Linked DNA regions of Struthio camelus. The protein of the gene in region 1 interacts with the protein of each later gene in a pairwise test. Links are inferred from orthologs where the notes say so. Each region holds a gene or a part of one and is shown on either strand. Other genes may lie near its edges.

Region 1 (7,705 bases):
CCAGAGGCTATGAATTTGGAGGTAAGCATACTTCAAGTGAGTTCTTCCCTCTCTCAATATCCACACTACATTAAAGTATTTTAATAGGCTGTGTTATATTCTATGCCATATAGTATTTTTTTATTATATAAACTGTTTCTTCTGGCACTCTGCTCCAGAAGTCGTTTCCACATCTCAGTTCTGGGCGCTGCTTTGTAGTGAGATTGATTTAGAAACGATGGGATTGCTCAAAGAATGGAAATTCCGTTTCTGATCAATGCTAGCTTTAACCACTGGAGCTGGGCAGGATTTGTCTCAGAATAGCATGTTGATATGCTATTGTTTTCCTTACCTTTCTAACCTCTCTCATTAAAAGCACTCTTAATTTCTATCAGTGGGCTGTAATAGGTAAAGAAGCAAATAACAGCTGGAGATATTTGAGAGGTCTACATCTCCAGAGCATGAAAAAGTAGCTTCATTTAAAAGTGCATGCGTACTACTTTCACCTGGTACACTAGGGAAATGAGGATTATGCAGTGATACTCTTCATCTGCCTGTCGTTCTCTCAGCCCCCCCCCCTTCTCCCTCAGTAGTTTTTGAACCAGCTGGCGTTTTCTACCACCTCAGACAGAGAGGAAAAGAAGTCAAAGCCAGGCGCTGCGAGTCACCTGTGGCTGCGCAGAGGAGGGAAACGCACCTAGATGTCCCACCCTGAGCACTGGCAATAGCGCGCACGTGTGTACGCTTCCCTTACGCCTGCACCTATCCCACCCGCTCAACATATATGTGGCCTGGTATTGGCTATTGTATGGGTGTCTCCGTACGCGATGATGTTTGTGGGGCAAGGGAGAGCACGAGAGTGGGGGACTGGGAGCAACCGGGGCACGAGGCTGCAAGGAGCAAGCAGAACTCAGGTTATCCCAGCAAAGTGGGGGTTATTGGCATTTAATACATCCCTGGAGCCAGGCTTCCTTAGCTTTTTTGGCTTGTGGAAGTACTTATTTACATCACCTTTTTTTTTTCTTTTTCATTTCTTATCTAAAAAAACTTTTTCGAAAACGATCGTTTAATCTATGTGGTGGGAAGGGCAGAGGAAAGGGAGCGCTGCTTGCATCTCGCAGTGACGCTGCCCACACTTGCGGAGCAAAAGGTCCTCATATTTCCATGGGTCAGATGCTGCAATTACACAGCTTTCTTGTTTGGCCAGTTCATCTGCTAAACCTGACACGAAGCCAGAGTGAAAACAGAGATTTTCCCATTACAGAATACCAAATCTATGATAAGCCACGCCATGAAAATCCAGTTTTTAAGGAGAGGGAGAGAATGAGGGAAACTCCAACTGCTGCTGCGAGATAAGCAATGAGTTTTGCAGGGCTTCTAAAACCTACTTTTTGGTAACAACAACTGTAAACTTAAGGAACAGTGAGATAAGAAAAACAACAGAATCTAGAATAAAAAAATTTAAGTAGCAGTTTGAGCAACAGTTTTAGCATATCACACCATCCACATGATAACTTTAGACGCTGCTGGGTAAAGTAAGTAGTTGCTACAGAAAGAGGCTTGCAAATATTGAATTTAATATGTGGGTCTGTTTTGGACAGTGGACATCATTTATGTTCTTTGTAACTTTCATATTTTTTTGTTCTATGACAAATTTCCTCACTATAAAGTACTCAAATCAATCAGCAGTTCTGCTTTCCTCACAGTCAAGTTATAATATTAAATTCTATTTATAAATGTAGCAGCAAACACATCTGAAAGGAGAGAGAGTTATTATCCTGGTAGCACTGAAAGAGACTATGCTGGTTTTCTCCAAGATTATTCCTTAAGTAGGATATAAGTATTGTAATTCATGCATCATTTGCCATGATGCAGAAGATGACCAAAAAATGTAAATTTTTATGTGCATGTATCATCTTTATAATAACTGCAGCCCACACAGTTCAAAACTTCATGATTTAGAAACAGACCAGGCAGCTGAGCATAACCTGACGGCGGCTGTATGATATTTGTTGTCTCTAAAAGCCAGCGGATTTAATTGTGTCTCTAACGCTGCTTATTTGCCACAAACAAAATACAAATTGGAAGCAAACAAATAAGTTCTCTGAATAAATCCTGCATTGCCCCAATTGTATGAGCTGCCATCTAAGCTGTCTGGCCACAGTCCAGGCCTGAATCACATTCCTGGGCTAGAAGTAACCCATGTGTCCCCTTTGAACTGTCCTCTTCGGTCCTTGATCTTCCTTTACCACCCACCTGGCCCTTCTGCAGCTCTTAATTACATTTCTTTGAAAGCTCTTTCTTACCTGCATAGTGGTCAAATACAGTGGGCACATACTCCTCGGGGAAAGCGTCGTTGGCATAACTCATCAGCAGACAGGTTTTCCCGACTGCACCGTCCCCAACCACCACGCATTTTAACATCTTCTTGGTGTTGTTGCTGCTGCCGTCAGTGCAGTTGTCATCTTCTTCCTTGCAGTTCATTCTTGCTGCTGCTGCTGCTGCTGCTGCTGCTGCTCCCAGGACTTCCAAGTGCACATGAAGGAAAAATGAAGTGCGATTGTATTGACTTTTCCTGAGTTTGGAGGGGCGGTGGGGGGTGGGGGGGGGAGAATCTCAAACTCAGGAAATCATACTAATGTTTCCAGGCTGTCACAGCCGCTTCTAACAATTACCAGAGCAGTCAAGAGAATCATCGAGGTGAATAAATTAAATATATAGAGAGAGGAGTAGCATTAAAAAAAAAAAAAAGGCGATTTGTCCGTTCTTGTGAGTCCGAGTCAGGAAATCCTCATCCTGCCCCAGAGTTCGGTCTTTATTGCAACTTGAAAAATATCAGCAGCCTGCGGCTTTGATTCGCTTCTCCCTTCCTCCGGCTTGGCTGCAGGAATCAGAGATTCCTGCTAAATCCGCTCCATTTTCCATTTCATTTCTAACATGGAGGAAAGCCTGGAGGTTTTTAATGGAGTTTTTCCTTTCTTTCTCCAGCTTGCTGTGTGTCAGGAAATCATGGGTTTCCTGCTGAATTCCATATTAGGATCAGTGGGCTTGTGAAGGGCTGCAAACAATGGGAGCTCTGTGTGTATTTGTACTTCGGGGGAACTCTGCCAGGACGTGGAGAAAGAAAAACACTAGAGGTCCCTCTGCAGACTGAAGTTTTAGGCTTCCTGCTCCATCCCGCGCTCGAGCTGCTCTCCGGCAGGGAGACCCGGGAGGAGGATTTTTGCCTGGCGAATGCTGCCAAAGATGTGGGTATTGGACCTAAATGGCGAAGCAGGGTACGGCGAGGCTGTGAACTGTGTGGTCCTTGCAGGGTTATCTGCCCTTCCCAGGTGTGTTCTTCTCAGAGTGTCTGGGGAGAGGTGTTTTCATACGTTTGGGAGGGGAATGAGGGAGGCAGAAAAGCAGGCTGAAGGTATAATGGGTAGGTATCATTTAATGCAAACTTTCTCTGTATCTATAGCACTTAAAAATATATTTAAAAATACTAAATCATTGATTCTTCAAGTCACGCATTCAGAAAGTATCCCTTTCACTTCCCCCTCATCCACTCCAAAAAAGAAAAAGAGAGATTCCCCTTCCCCCCTCAGTGTAAGTGTGTAAACACAGATGGGGCTAGAGAGGCAAAAAAAGGAATTAAATATTACCAGAATTAGAAAAAAGAGTGCTATGCCCAGCATCTGCTGTGACACAGCATCACTGTGGGATTTCTCCCAGTTAGGAGTACAGGTGACATACTTTTAGCTTCAAAACTTCAGCCCAACAACCTAGTTCATCTAGCAAAACCTGTGAGCTCTGGGCACCCAAAACCCGATTCTCCAAGCAGTTACTATATTGATTAATTCCTCCATCAGCATTTTGGCTGGATCACCCTTGGGGAATCAAGAATTACAAAGTTTTGTTCGTTTAGCTTCTTTCTTACCGTAGTTGGGACAAATCTAAAAATCTGATCTTGTGCCTCTCTTGTAGTTATTAAAGAGCTGGGTGCTGATCCCCTTCCATGCCTTTGCTTACCAGCCTATTGACCTTGTTAGGTAAGTTCGCCAAATACACGATTAAGCACATTTTGTCACAAGGTAACTGCAAAGCCCAAGGAAGCAAAAATTCGCATAATTCATGGCTCAATTCCCAAATGCAACAACTATCTCACTTCCCATTTTACATTGGCATAAGTTATCTGCAAGCTTTTTCAACATCAGACATCCCTCCCATTGAGGCAGACCTTAATGTTAGTGAACCTGGTTTAGGCCTACAACAGCAGAGGGTTGTGGGACACTCCTGCGCAAACTCCCCACGGCTCAGTGCTCCACACTCAGCCGGGCTGTACTCGGGGGCTGCAGAGTATATCCAAGCCCCACACTTTTGTTTGGAAGGATCAGCTTCATCTTCATCAGCACACCTCTGACAGAGAAATCCCTGGAGCTGCTTTCTTGTGAACCGGCAGGGCTCAAGGCCAGTGCAAAAGATTCCAGCAAGAGGCTCTCTATGAGATGAGGGACTTGCAAATTTGAGAGCTAATTTGTTAATTAGCTCTGCAATGAGCAATACGTTAGCCAATTAAATCCATTCTATATTTCTCTTGCAGGCAAAGCAAATCAAGGTGAAAAAGAGGATATGATGTTGTATCACTCTTTGCCTGCTCCCTTCCACTAGCCAACCCAGTTACAGCTGCATTTTCTCTCCAGTGCCTCCTGCAATGCAGTGGTCTTCCTTGGTACAACATTATGAGCTTAAAACTTGTAAGTCAGAGGAATTTTCGCCATAACTGCTTATAACCTTATCAAACCTGACTGCCTGGATCTGATAGAGTCCTGACCTTGCCTTGGGTCGTGTCCTCCGAAGCTCTTCCTTTCCTCTTCCCTTCTTTGCTTAAACCAAGCAGATTGGTCTCTGCCTTCCTGTCCATAAGAGGTAGTCCCATAGAGTGGGAGAATTTAAAGGTGGCTGCATTACTGTGAAGTTTTTCTCCCCACCCCTTGCTGCTCTTGGACAAGATTCCTTGTCCATCCTCTTTCCTTCCACCTACCAGCACTGGTACGGGAGGTGCTGGGAGGTTTCTGGGCCTGCTATGGAGCTCAGTCCCACTTCATCTACGAGCACGGCTAGCTTTGGGGATTGCTGCTGGTCTGACGCTTGCAGGCTGCTTTCCCTTGCCAGCCTTCTGGTTCTCTCCATAGCGCAGCCCTCAGTTTCCTCCCTCCTTGGGACCTCCAGCCAGCCTGTTTCTAGCCGCTGGCAGCATCCCTATTATGTGGTACCTCCAGGTCCTGCAGGCTTATCTGGGCCAGACCAACTGCCTCATCCAAACTGCATGCTCCGAAGCCTCTCAGGATGTTTGTAAAGGTGTTGCCTCCTGCATCAGCGCTGAAACTAGGTTTGGCTGCCTGAATTGATATCGTGATTTAATATCAACAGCAGAGTGCATTGGATTCTTTGAGCCTCTCTTTCTAGATGTTCTCTGGAAATGATAGTGGGACCAGATCTACAGAAGGAGGAAAAATGGTACTGCATAGGTGACTGCAGCAGGTCCTATGCTCTGGAGAGAGTCACTGCAGCCTAGAAAAGAGAGCACAGATGTGGGAATTAAGTTTCTGGCACCGCTAATGAACTGTAAATTGACTTTAGGCAAATCATCTCACATTTTTTCCTACCCTTTGTCTAATCTATTTAGACTGTCAGAACTTTTTAGTGCAGTGACCCTATGGGTATTGAAGTGAGCTTAACAGAACCCCATCTTCTAAATCTTCTAGATGACATCATAAGATGAAGGAACCACAGTTTTAGGATAGTGGTCATGAAGATCTCCAAACTGTTTATTAACAAAACACTTCTACTGTGGAAATCAGAGCTGTTTTTGTATAGTCTAACTAGATTCTCAGATATACAATATATTTGCAGGGGGCTGCCACGGACTCTGTTACAATGAGTGGATTTGTTTTCATAGGAATTTGATAAATTAATGTCATTTTGCTTCCATGCCTCCAAACTTTGAAGAAACTCTTACATTGTGCCTTCCTTTATTACTTCCTCCATATTTAGGCAAAGAGGAAAAATTTATCTAAGAGCATTCATCAGAAACAAGGGTTCTTAGTTCTCCACAGTCTCAATTTCCTCAGAAATGAGATATTTTCACAATGATCCCTTGCCTACTTGTAATGTGAAGAAAATTTTCCATGCATTCAGATTTGCATCCTGCATCAGAGAAAAATCTTTTTTCATGTCAGTCAGAGTCTTTGAGAGGCAGATTAACAAAATGGGACTGCAAAGCTTAATTATCACTGTGAGGTTCCAAACCAGGTTTCCCTGGCCATCAGATTCAGGACCTTTTCTGCACGATGATATAGTAAGAGCCAGACCCTGTGCAGTTAAACAAATTCTAGACCAGTGTACTTAGTGTCTCCTAACACTTGCTGCTTGGTGGTTCCATACTGGTGCTCCATATAGGAACTGAGAGAGGGAGACAAAACTGATTTTAAGCCATCCTCACATTGACCATATTCTCAGGGTGCCATTGTGGACCCTAGTCTTATTTGAGGCAGCCTTGTGTTGGCTCCTCTTTCTGCTTGAGTTGCCTGTATGTCCCTCCACATTGTGCTGAGAATAACTGAAATGAGGACCCTGTCCCTATTCCTTCCTTCATCTGCTCCCCTTTCTTGCTGGCAGCTCCATCTGTCAACCTCCCACCCAGATGAAATGACCATTGAGACCTCAAGTGAATTTGATATGTTGAAAAGCAGAAGCAGTAAATGAGGGAGGTAAAATAACAGTTTAACGTTAACCACAGGCGGGATGGAAGTACTCTGTGTGAAGCAGAGGCAGTTTGCTGAAGGGCAGGTGCTGAGGGTTGGCTTTGAGGCGTGTTGAGTGAGAGCAGGCCTCTCTACAGCCATCACACGCCATCAGTCATGCTGCCACCACTACCACCGCCACCATGGTGGTCCATGTGAGCAGCAGGGGGTTTCCTGTTTCAGGCTGCTGCCATGGATATAATTAGTGTCATTGGGTTTCCCTTCTGAAAGACGAGTTTGTAAAACAAATGACTTTTGGGAGATGAGGTCAAGCAAAGAGTGATTCAAGTCCTGCCCATCGGAGTACCCTCATCTGTGAACTTGCTTCCAAAGCTGCTGTATAATGAAAATTGTACGTGGTGTGTTTGTGTGTGTGCGAGTGACGGACGATTCTTTTTAGCTGGGAAGGGTGGTGTTCGGCTTGTTAATTTATGCTGCATCGTGGTGACTGTGGGCAGTACTGTGTTACTTACCCATCAGTGCAGCGCGTGGTTCTTGTCCGGTATCTGTATGTCCAGCAGATTTGTTTATAGCCGTTTGCATTTGGACTTAGGGGGTGAGTTTTCCTTGGAGATGTGAAACGATGGTGGCACCCATGCATCTGGAGGTCTGATGCGCCCCTCCAATTTGCAGCAGAATTCTCTGGTTTCCTTCCAGAAAAGAGCTGGCTGTCACCAGTGCTTTCTCTCCTGATTTCCCTCTTGCATGGCTGTCTCATCTCCATTTCCATTCATCTTCTACTCCCTCTCCCTCTCTGTACAGTGGATATATGACAAAAGCTGTTTAACCCTTGCCCTATGCTGCAAGACAATGGAGCAAAGTGAACGAGGCATGTGTTCACCTTGGGATTAGCAGAGCAGGAAAAATACCACTTTAGGCAATTTCTTCCTCCCTACCTGTTGTGTTTTCCACACAGGATTTTTTTTTTCTCTAAATTA
Region 2 (7,207 bases), on another chromosome or scaffold:
GAAAAGTTAAGGAAGCTGCATTTTCAGACAGCTGAGCTAAGTAGGCAGCTTGGCTTGACTGCATCATGCCCAGCTGCTCAAGACCTCTCCGTCTTCTTGTTCTTCCCACCACTATGCCTCCCCTAGCCCCTTCTTTTCCTCCTCAATGTTTTCTTAAGACAACTCACTCTCAAAGCTTTCTGCTAGAGCTCAACTCTCTGTCACCAGAGCTTTGCTCAAGTTATCACTGGCCCCAGTCATTTAGAACACTGTCTCTATAACTAGGACTTGTTTCCAAAACAAATTAACTATTTTCCCAACTGTGGCTACCGCACAGACATGTGAAAGGTGGAGGGGGAAAAAAAAGACAGATAAGAGAATTCTGAAATGGAGGTAGCTGTTACTAGTAAAACAGAGACCTATATTCAGATTCCTGCTGCTTTTCACATTTGATATCAAAAGAACGAAATTAACAGCATCAAAGCCTTTAACATTTATCCTAAAGTTATTTAGAAAATGAAGTTGCTTGATAATTTTTCCTTTCAAACATAACTGAAACGCTAATTTAAACAATGCAAGTGTGCATGATTTTTTTAAGACACATTTTAAAGTAAGCAGATTAGACCTACCATACATGGTCAAAGCATCCATCCATCTACTCCAGCAGCTATTCCAGACAGGAAACAGTAACAGGTGCCTCAGAAAAACTCCCCCAATTGGCCAAACTTTCAGGTTAAGCTGGCATAAATTTCATCCCAGTGAATGAGATCCTGACAACGTCCTATAAAACAACTCAGAGCACATGCACCTCTGATCCACTGAAACACTTTGCCCTCAGCTAAAACATGCAAAATATCTAGACAGCAGCTGAAAACGTTTGTATTATTGACCATTTCCTAGCCCAACATTTTTTTTGAATAACTATGTCTACATAAAGCAGAGTCAAATCCCACATGCAACTTAGACAATACAGAGAATCTGCACTATGCTTTCAAAAATATTTTTGTTCTACCCCAAGAATGGAAATATACCCCCACCGTCATAGGCCTTTCCTTCATCTAAAGCATTACTTGGCGAGTTGTTTTGAAGTGCTCCTGTGATCTTGAAGATTCTCCTCAAAATCTCATCATGCAAAGGCTTTACATTTTTACATTTCTACACTGCTCCTATTTCAGTCTATTAGTCTGCAATAATAAAATGACTAATTTCTTAGTCCTATGGTGGCATAAAACTGGTACAGCACACTTGGTTATGTACGGATATTTGTAAGTCTGCCTCTACAGTATCTTTGTGCATTAAATTAATTCCATCTCCTAAACGGAGAAACCGAACCACAAAGTACTCAGTCCCCTGATTTTTAGCCACATACCACTTCAGGGCTCACATTGTGAAGGCTGCACCATACTGAAAAGCCCAAGAGCAAGCCTATCTTTAAAAAAAAAAAAAAAGAGAGAGAGAGAGAGAGGAGAGAGAGAGAGAGAGAGACATAAAGAAAGAGAAAAATGGAGAAAGGCAGGAGCAAGAAGATAAAAAACAAAAAAGACACAAAATTCCATGCTCAAATTGTGCTTACTATCCCAGTCATTGTGCTTACTATCCCAGTTATTGCAATACCTCCAAAATAATGAGGATTATTAATAAAAATGCTGCAATATCTGGCCTGCTTTCACTTACCATAAGACAGCATGTAAATGGATTTATTTTGGCTACAGGCAAAGTGCAGTATTGCTCTTTGAAAGCTAGCTGATTAACTGTCTGCTCCCAGACAAACCTTCCGGCAGTTGCTTGTACACACCAGTCCCTGAGCTCAGGCTAAACCAAATTTTTTTTCCCAATTCCCTGATCAGCCTACCATTAGACATCTACTGTTGTCGGGCAGGCAGCACGGACAGAACGGAAGGCAAAACGCACTAACAAAAACTAAACAGAAAACACAGCAAAGAGAAAAAACAAACAGAAGAGCACACAAAGAGTAGCAGTTACATTACGGTCTAGTATAAAAAGGGTATCACAGCAGCTCCAAAGAAAGATTCATAACCTGCTGCAGTACTCGGATTCCTTCACTCACTGTAGGAAAGCATGTGACCAAAAGCTCTCTGCACTACATTTCCGTACTTGTACAGATTTTTCTTTAAGAGTTTTTCACAGATACATTGACGCTAATTTTCCCCCCACTTTAAGCGATCTGACAACAACGAAGGCTGTTGTGAAGGGTGTACTGTTTTCCTCGGGACAGACTGCTCTTTGCTCTGGGGGTGCCACCACCGCGCCCAGCCCTGAGGCAGAAAGGGACGTGTCGGGAGGGGGGCGGCAGGGGACAGAGGATGGAGGTGACCCTTGGGCTTCAGAAAGCGCCTGCTGAGTTCCCGCAGTACTGGCCCACAGAGGGCAAATCAGCATTACAGCAACATCAGGCACCGCTTTCCGGCCAGCCACCGCCGCGCGGCAACGGCGGCGAGCGCACCACAGCTCCTCCGGATCACCAAACGACCAGGCGGCCTCTCTCCTCGCCAGCTCGCCGCCCCGTTTCCCCCGGGCAGCGCCCCCGCTGCGCCTCCCGCCAGCGCATCGCCGCCGCGGGCGCGGCCAGCCCCCCGGGGCAGCGCGCTCGGCGCAGGCCGGCGCCCGCGGCGCCACCGCGGCTTCCCGCGGCGCAGCCCGGTGCCACGGCCCGGCCGAGCTGGCCCCGCCGCGACCCGCGCACCCCCCACGGCGGCCGGCGGGCAGGGCGGGCGGCGGCCCGGCCGAGACGGCGCGCCCGGGCCCGCCAGAGGCCCGCGGCCGCGCAGGAGGCCACAAAGGGCGGAAGGCGCGGCGACGCGGCGGCAGGTGGGAGCGGGCCGCCGCCGCGGCACTCACCGGGATGGCGGCAGCGCCTGCCGCCTCTGCAGACGGCCCGGCGGGGGCGAGAGGGGGCGGCGGGGCGGACGGGGCGCGGCCGCCACACGGCGCCTCCTGCAATGGCGGCGGCGGGACCCACCGAGGCGGCGGCGGCAGGAGCCGGAGGGGGAAGCGGAACCGCCACGCGCGGCCACAGCCCGCGAGGGCGGGCAGGGGCGGGGCGCCGCCGCACGCCGACTCCAACTCCCGGCAGGCCGCGCGGCGGCGCTTCGGCGCGCGGGGCCTCACGGGACGCGTAGTCTGGGGCAAGCGGCCCAAGATGGCGCCGGAGGCAGCGGCGCTACCTCCGGCAGCGGCGGCTCTACAGGCCCTGGACGCGGTTCCCTATAGAGCAAATTAACGCTGCTTCAGTAGCGTCACCGCCAGGAGTGAGGCGATCAGAGGCAGTCTCTGCACATCCCCACAGCTGACAAAAGCAAACACCCTCAAGACAAAATAAAGGACAAGGACGTCTTTTAAACTCACACCTCTCTTCTATCTTCTGGCTTTTTCTTTGAAATTTGGCATTATTTCCCCAATACTTCATTTGATGCTCAAGCATCACCTCCTCCAAGCTCAAGACCGGTGCATCCCTCTGAGGAAGAAGTCCAGCAAAGCGGGCAGGAGACCTGCGTGGCTGAGCAAGGAACTCCTGGCCAAACTCCAACAGAAGAAGGAAGCGTACCGAATGTGGCAAAGGGGACAGGCCACTTGGGAGGAATACAGGGACGTTGTCAGAGTGTGCAGGGATGCGACGAGGAAGGCTAAGGCCCAGTTGGAATTAAATCTGGCAAGGGAGGACAAGGACAACAAGAAGGGCTTCTTCAAGTACATCAATAGCAAAAGGAAGCCTAGGGAAAATGTGGGCCCACTGGTGAATGGGGCGGGTGCCCTGATAACAAAGGATATAGAGAAGGCAGAGTTATTGAATGCCGCCTTTGCCTCAGTCTTCACTGCTAAGGCCAGTGCTGAGGAATTCCAGACTCTGGGGACAAGAGAGGAAGGCTGCAGAAAGGCAGACTCTCCCTTGGTGGAGGAGGATCAGGTTAGAGATCTTTTGTCCAAACTTGACACCCACAAATCCATGGGCCCCGATGGGATACATCCACGAGTGCTGAGGGAGCCGGCGGATGTTATCGCTAGGCCACTCTCCATCCTCTTGGAAAGGTCATGGCAATCAGGAGAGCTGCCTGAGGACTGGAAGAAAGCCAGTGTCACCGCAGTCTTCAAAAAGGGCCAGAAGGAGGAGCCAGGAAACTCCAGGCCTGTCAGCCTCCCCTCCATCCCGGGCAAGGTGATGGAACAGCTCCTCCTGGAGGTCCTCACTAAGCGTATGGAGGACAAGAAGGTGATCAGGAGTAGTCGGCACAGATTCACCAAAGGGAAATCATGCTTGACCAGTCGGATAGCCTTCTGTGATGGGATGACCGGCTGGGGAGATGAGGGCAGAGCAGTGGATGTTGTCTGCGTGGACTTCAGCAAGGCTTTGGACACTGTCTCCCATCACATCCTCCTAGGTAAAATCAGGAAGTTCGGGTTGGATGAGTGGACAGTGAGGTGGCTTGAGAACTGGCTGGATGGCCGAGCTCAGAGGGTTGTGGTCAGTGGCGCAGAGTCTAGTTGGAGGCCTGTAGCGAGCGGTGTCCCCCAGGGGTCAGTCCTGGCTCCAGTCTTGTTCAACATATTCATCACTGACCTGGAGGAAGGGACAGAGTGCACCCTCAGCAAGTTTGCTGATGATCCTAAACTGGGGGGGAGTGGCTGACACACCAGAAGACTGTGCTGCCATTCCGAGGGACCTGGACAGGCTGGAGAGTTGGGCGGAGAGGAACCTCCTGAAGGTCAACACAGGCAAGGGCAGGCTCCTGCACCTAGGCAGGAATAACCCCAGGCAGCAGGACAGGCTGGGGGTGGACCTGTTGGAAAGCAGCTCTGCAGAGAAGGACCTGGGAGTGCTGGTGGACAACAAGTGAAGCATGAGGCAGCAATGTGCCCTTGTGGCCAAGGCCAATGGTCTGCTGGGGTGCCTTAGGCAGAGTGTTGGCAGCAGGTGGAGGGAGGTGATCCTGCCCCTCTCCTCAGCCCTGGCGAGGCCTCACCTGGAGTCCTGTGTCCAGTTCTGGGCTCCCCAGCCCAAGAGAGACATGGCCCTACTGCAGAGAGTCCAGCGGAGGGCTCCAAAGAGGATGAGGGGACTGGAGCATCTCTCCTCGGAAGAAAGGCTGCGAGAGCTGGGCCTGTGTAGCCTGGAGAAGAGAAGACTGAGAGGGGATCTGATCAACGTGTACAAGTATGTGAAGGGGGAGTGTCGAGAGGATGAGGCCAGTCTCTTCTCTGTGGTGCCCAGCAACAGGACAAGAGGCAATGGGCAGAAACTGAACCACAGGAAGTTCCATGTGAACCTGAGAAAAAACGTGTTTCCTGTGAGGGTGACAGAGCATTGGAACAGGTTGCCCAGAGAGGTAGTGGAGTCTCCTTCCCTGGAGTTATTCAAAACTCGTCTGTGATCCTGGGAAATATGCTCTGGAGGACCGTGCTTAGCAGGGAGGTTGGACTAGAAGATCTCCAGAGGTCCCTTCCAACCTTAGCCATTCTGTGATTTGTTGGTTAAAACTTGTTTACTGCAGCATGGGGGCTTCCCGCCGTGCTTGTGGAGCAGCTGCTGCCTCTGGCAGGGGCGTCCAAGAGCACCAGAGGGCTGTGCTTTGCCGTCCTCAGCTATGCTATGCTCGGCCTTCCTCTTGCCTTAATGTGCTGGAAGGAGCTTGTTTTTGTATTAGCATAGCCAATGACAAATTAACCGTTCTCCCTCTAACTTAGAATAATCCACGTGCTTCCAATTCCACGAATCCTTGCAGCTCGGTGTCTTGACGGTATTGCCAAAAGGACTATATGTGAACTACAGCAGCAGAACCCAGAGTCACTGCCAGCATTACCATGTCCTGTCATTAGTGACCTGCACCACCTCTTCTGTAGTTACTCTAACGCCCAGGTACCAAGAGCTGTAGTAGCAAGCACAGCTGAGAAAGCAGCATACTTGCCCTCGAAACTCCTACTCCCCCAAAATTCCTATGACATATTTAATCTTCCAGATGACTTACCCAAACATCCACCTGCCCTGCAGCTCTGACCTGACCTCCTCCTTCAACCCAGGCTTGAAGCAACATCTGATTTTTCCTTCAGAAAGAAAAGAAAGCATGTCAGGCAGATCCTTTTCGTAAGAAGTCTGGGAAAAGTAGGCGGCTACCATTACGGCCTGGTACCTGCCCACACGTCCAGGGACAAACAGTGCAAAACAGCCTTTCCAGCTTCTGCTGCTTTCAGCCCACATTTGCTGGTCATCATCTCTGTTAAGCTCCACAGAATTAATGCAGAGTGAGTGATTGCAGAACACATGCCCCCATAGACCTCCAATATTTCCACTGCATTATTCCAGGAGTAGTACTCTGCAGTGACCCTGCTGTGGCCAGTGGCAACTGTTCTGGTCTCCTTCCTACTGCAGACAAGGCCATCGTCCCCACTTCTCTTCGCATGCTGCTTTGTCATTCTCCCTGCTTAGACTCAACTCCCTATTAATCCCTTTCAGCACTAAAAGTTCTGGTAATTAATCTCCACAGTTATGTACTTCTCAAGAAACTGTGGCAGGTTTCTAAACTTTCTTCACACCTCCTCCAGCTTTACTTTCATTTCCTACAAAATGACCTTACTTCTTTCCGATTCAGCTTTGTACCCCCAAACCCATTCAGGTCCTGCCCCAAAGCCTTTTCACAACTCTTATCCACCTCCCATTCCATTCTCTCCCCAGGCATGTCTTTTTAGAACAAACTAAAAGAGTATTTTTTTTTAAATTATGCACATTCACTTGTGATTCAGAGTCTCTGATAGAACCCTTAACTCTTAACGTGCCTTTTTCCCCCTGTACCCCTCCCCCTTCTTTTATTGCTTTAATTCCTTTATTTAATTCAATCCTTACACTCATCAATAACGTATACGCTTGTGTCTGACTCTTGTATCTATGTTGTCTTGCTAACAACTCAAACTAGCGTGCAGTCCCCTCCTTTCTGTCTCCAAAACTGCCAGAATTTCTTAACAGAGAATTGGTTGGATTATGGCTCCTCTGCATCTGCCAGTGACCCCTGGCTAATGACTGACATTACAGCTTTTAGAGAAGAACCTGTCTACTGTATTTTTATAACACAACTGCTATGAATTTAAAACCAGCAAATCATTGCTATTTGCCACAGCAAAAAACATTCACTGAGAAATTCTGTGATTTCTCTCAAATTTTACATCAACAAGAATAAATATTACTAAGGCTCAGTCTAGAAGCCGATCAGTGGATCTCAAT

The links.
Region 2: the proteins of RHOJ (region 1) and PAK2 interact in binary tests that used the Homo sapiens proteins (3 or more experiments, as listed by UniProt). The two-hybrid records come from large-scale screens. The link is inferred for Struthio camelus from reciprocal best matches to the Homo sapiens genes RHOJ and PAK2.

Annotation. Positions count from the first base shown.
Region 1 is NC_090946.1:76,023,683-76,031,387, forward strand, and holds the start of RHOJ (rho-related GTP-binding protein RhoJ), read right to left. Parts: upstream 3,021-7,705; 5' UTR 2,464-3,020; coding exon 2,286-2,463; intron 1-2,285.
Region 2 is NC_090950.1:2,563,134-2,570,340, reverse strand, and holds the start of PAK2 (serine/threonine-protein kinase PAK 2), read right to left. Parts: upstream 3,020-7,207; 5' UTR 2,960-3,019; intron 756-2,959; exon of another isoform or gene 609-755; intron 1-608. UniProt on the Homo sapiens protein: Serine/threonine protein kinase that plays a role in a variety of different signaling pathways including cytoskeleton regulation, cell motility, cell cycle progression, apoptosis or proliferation.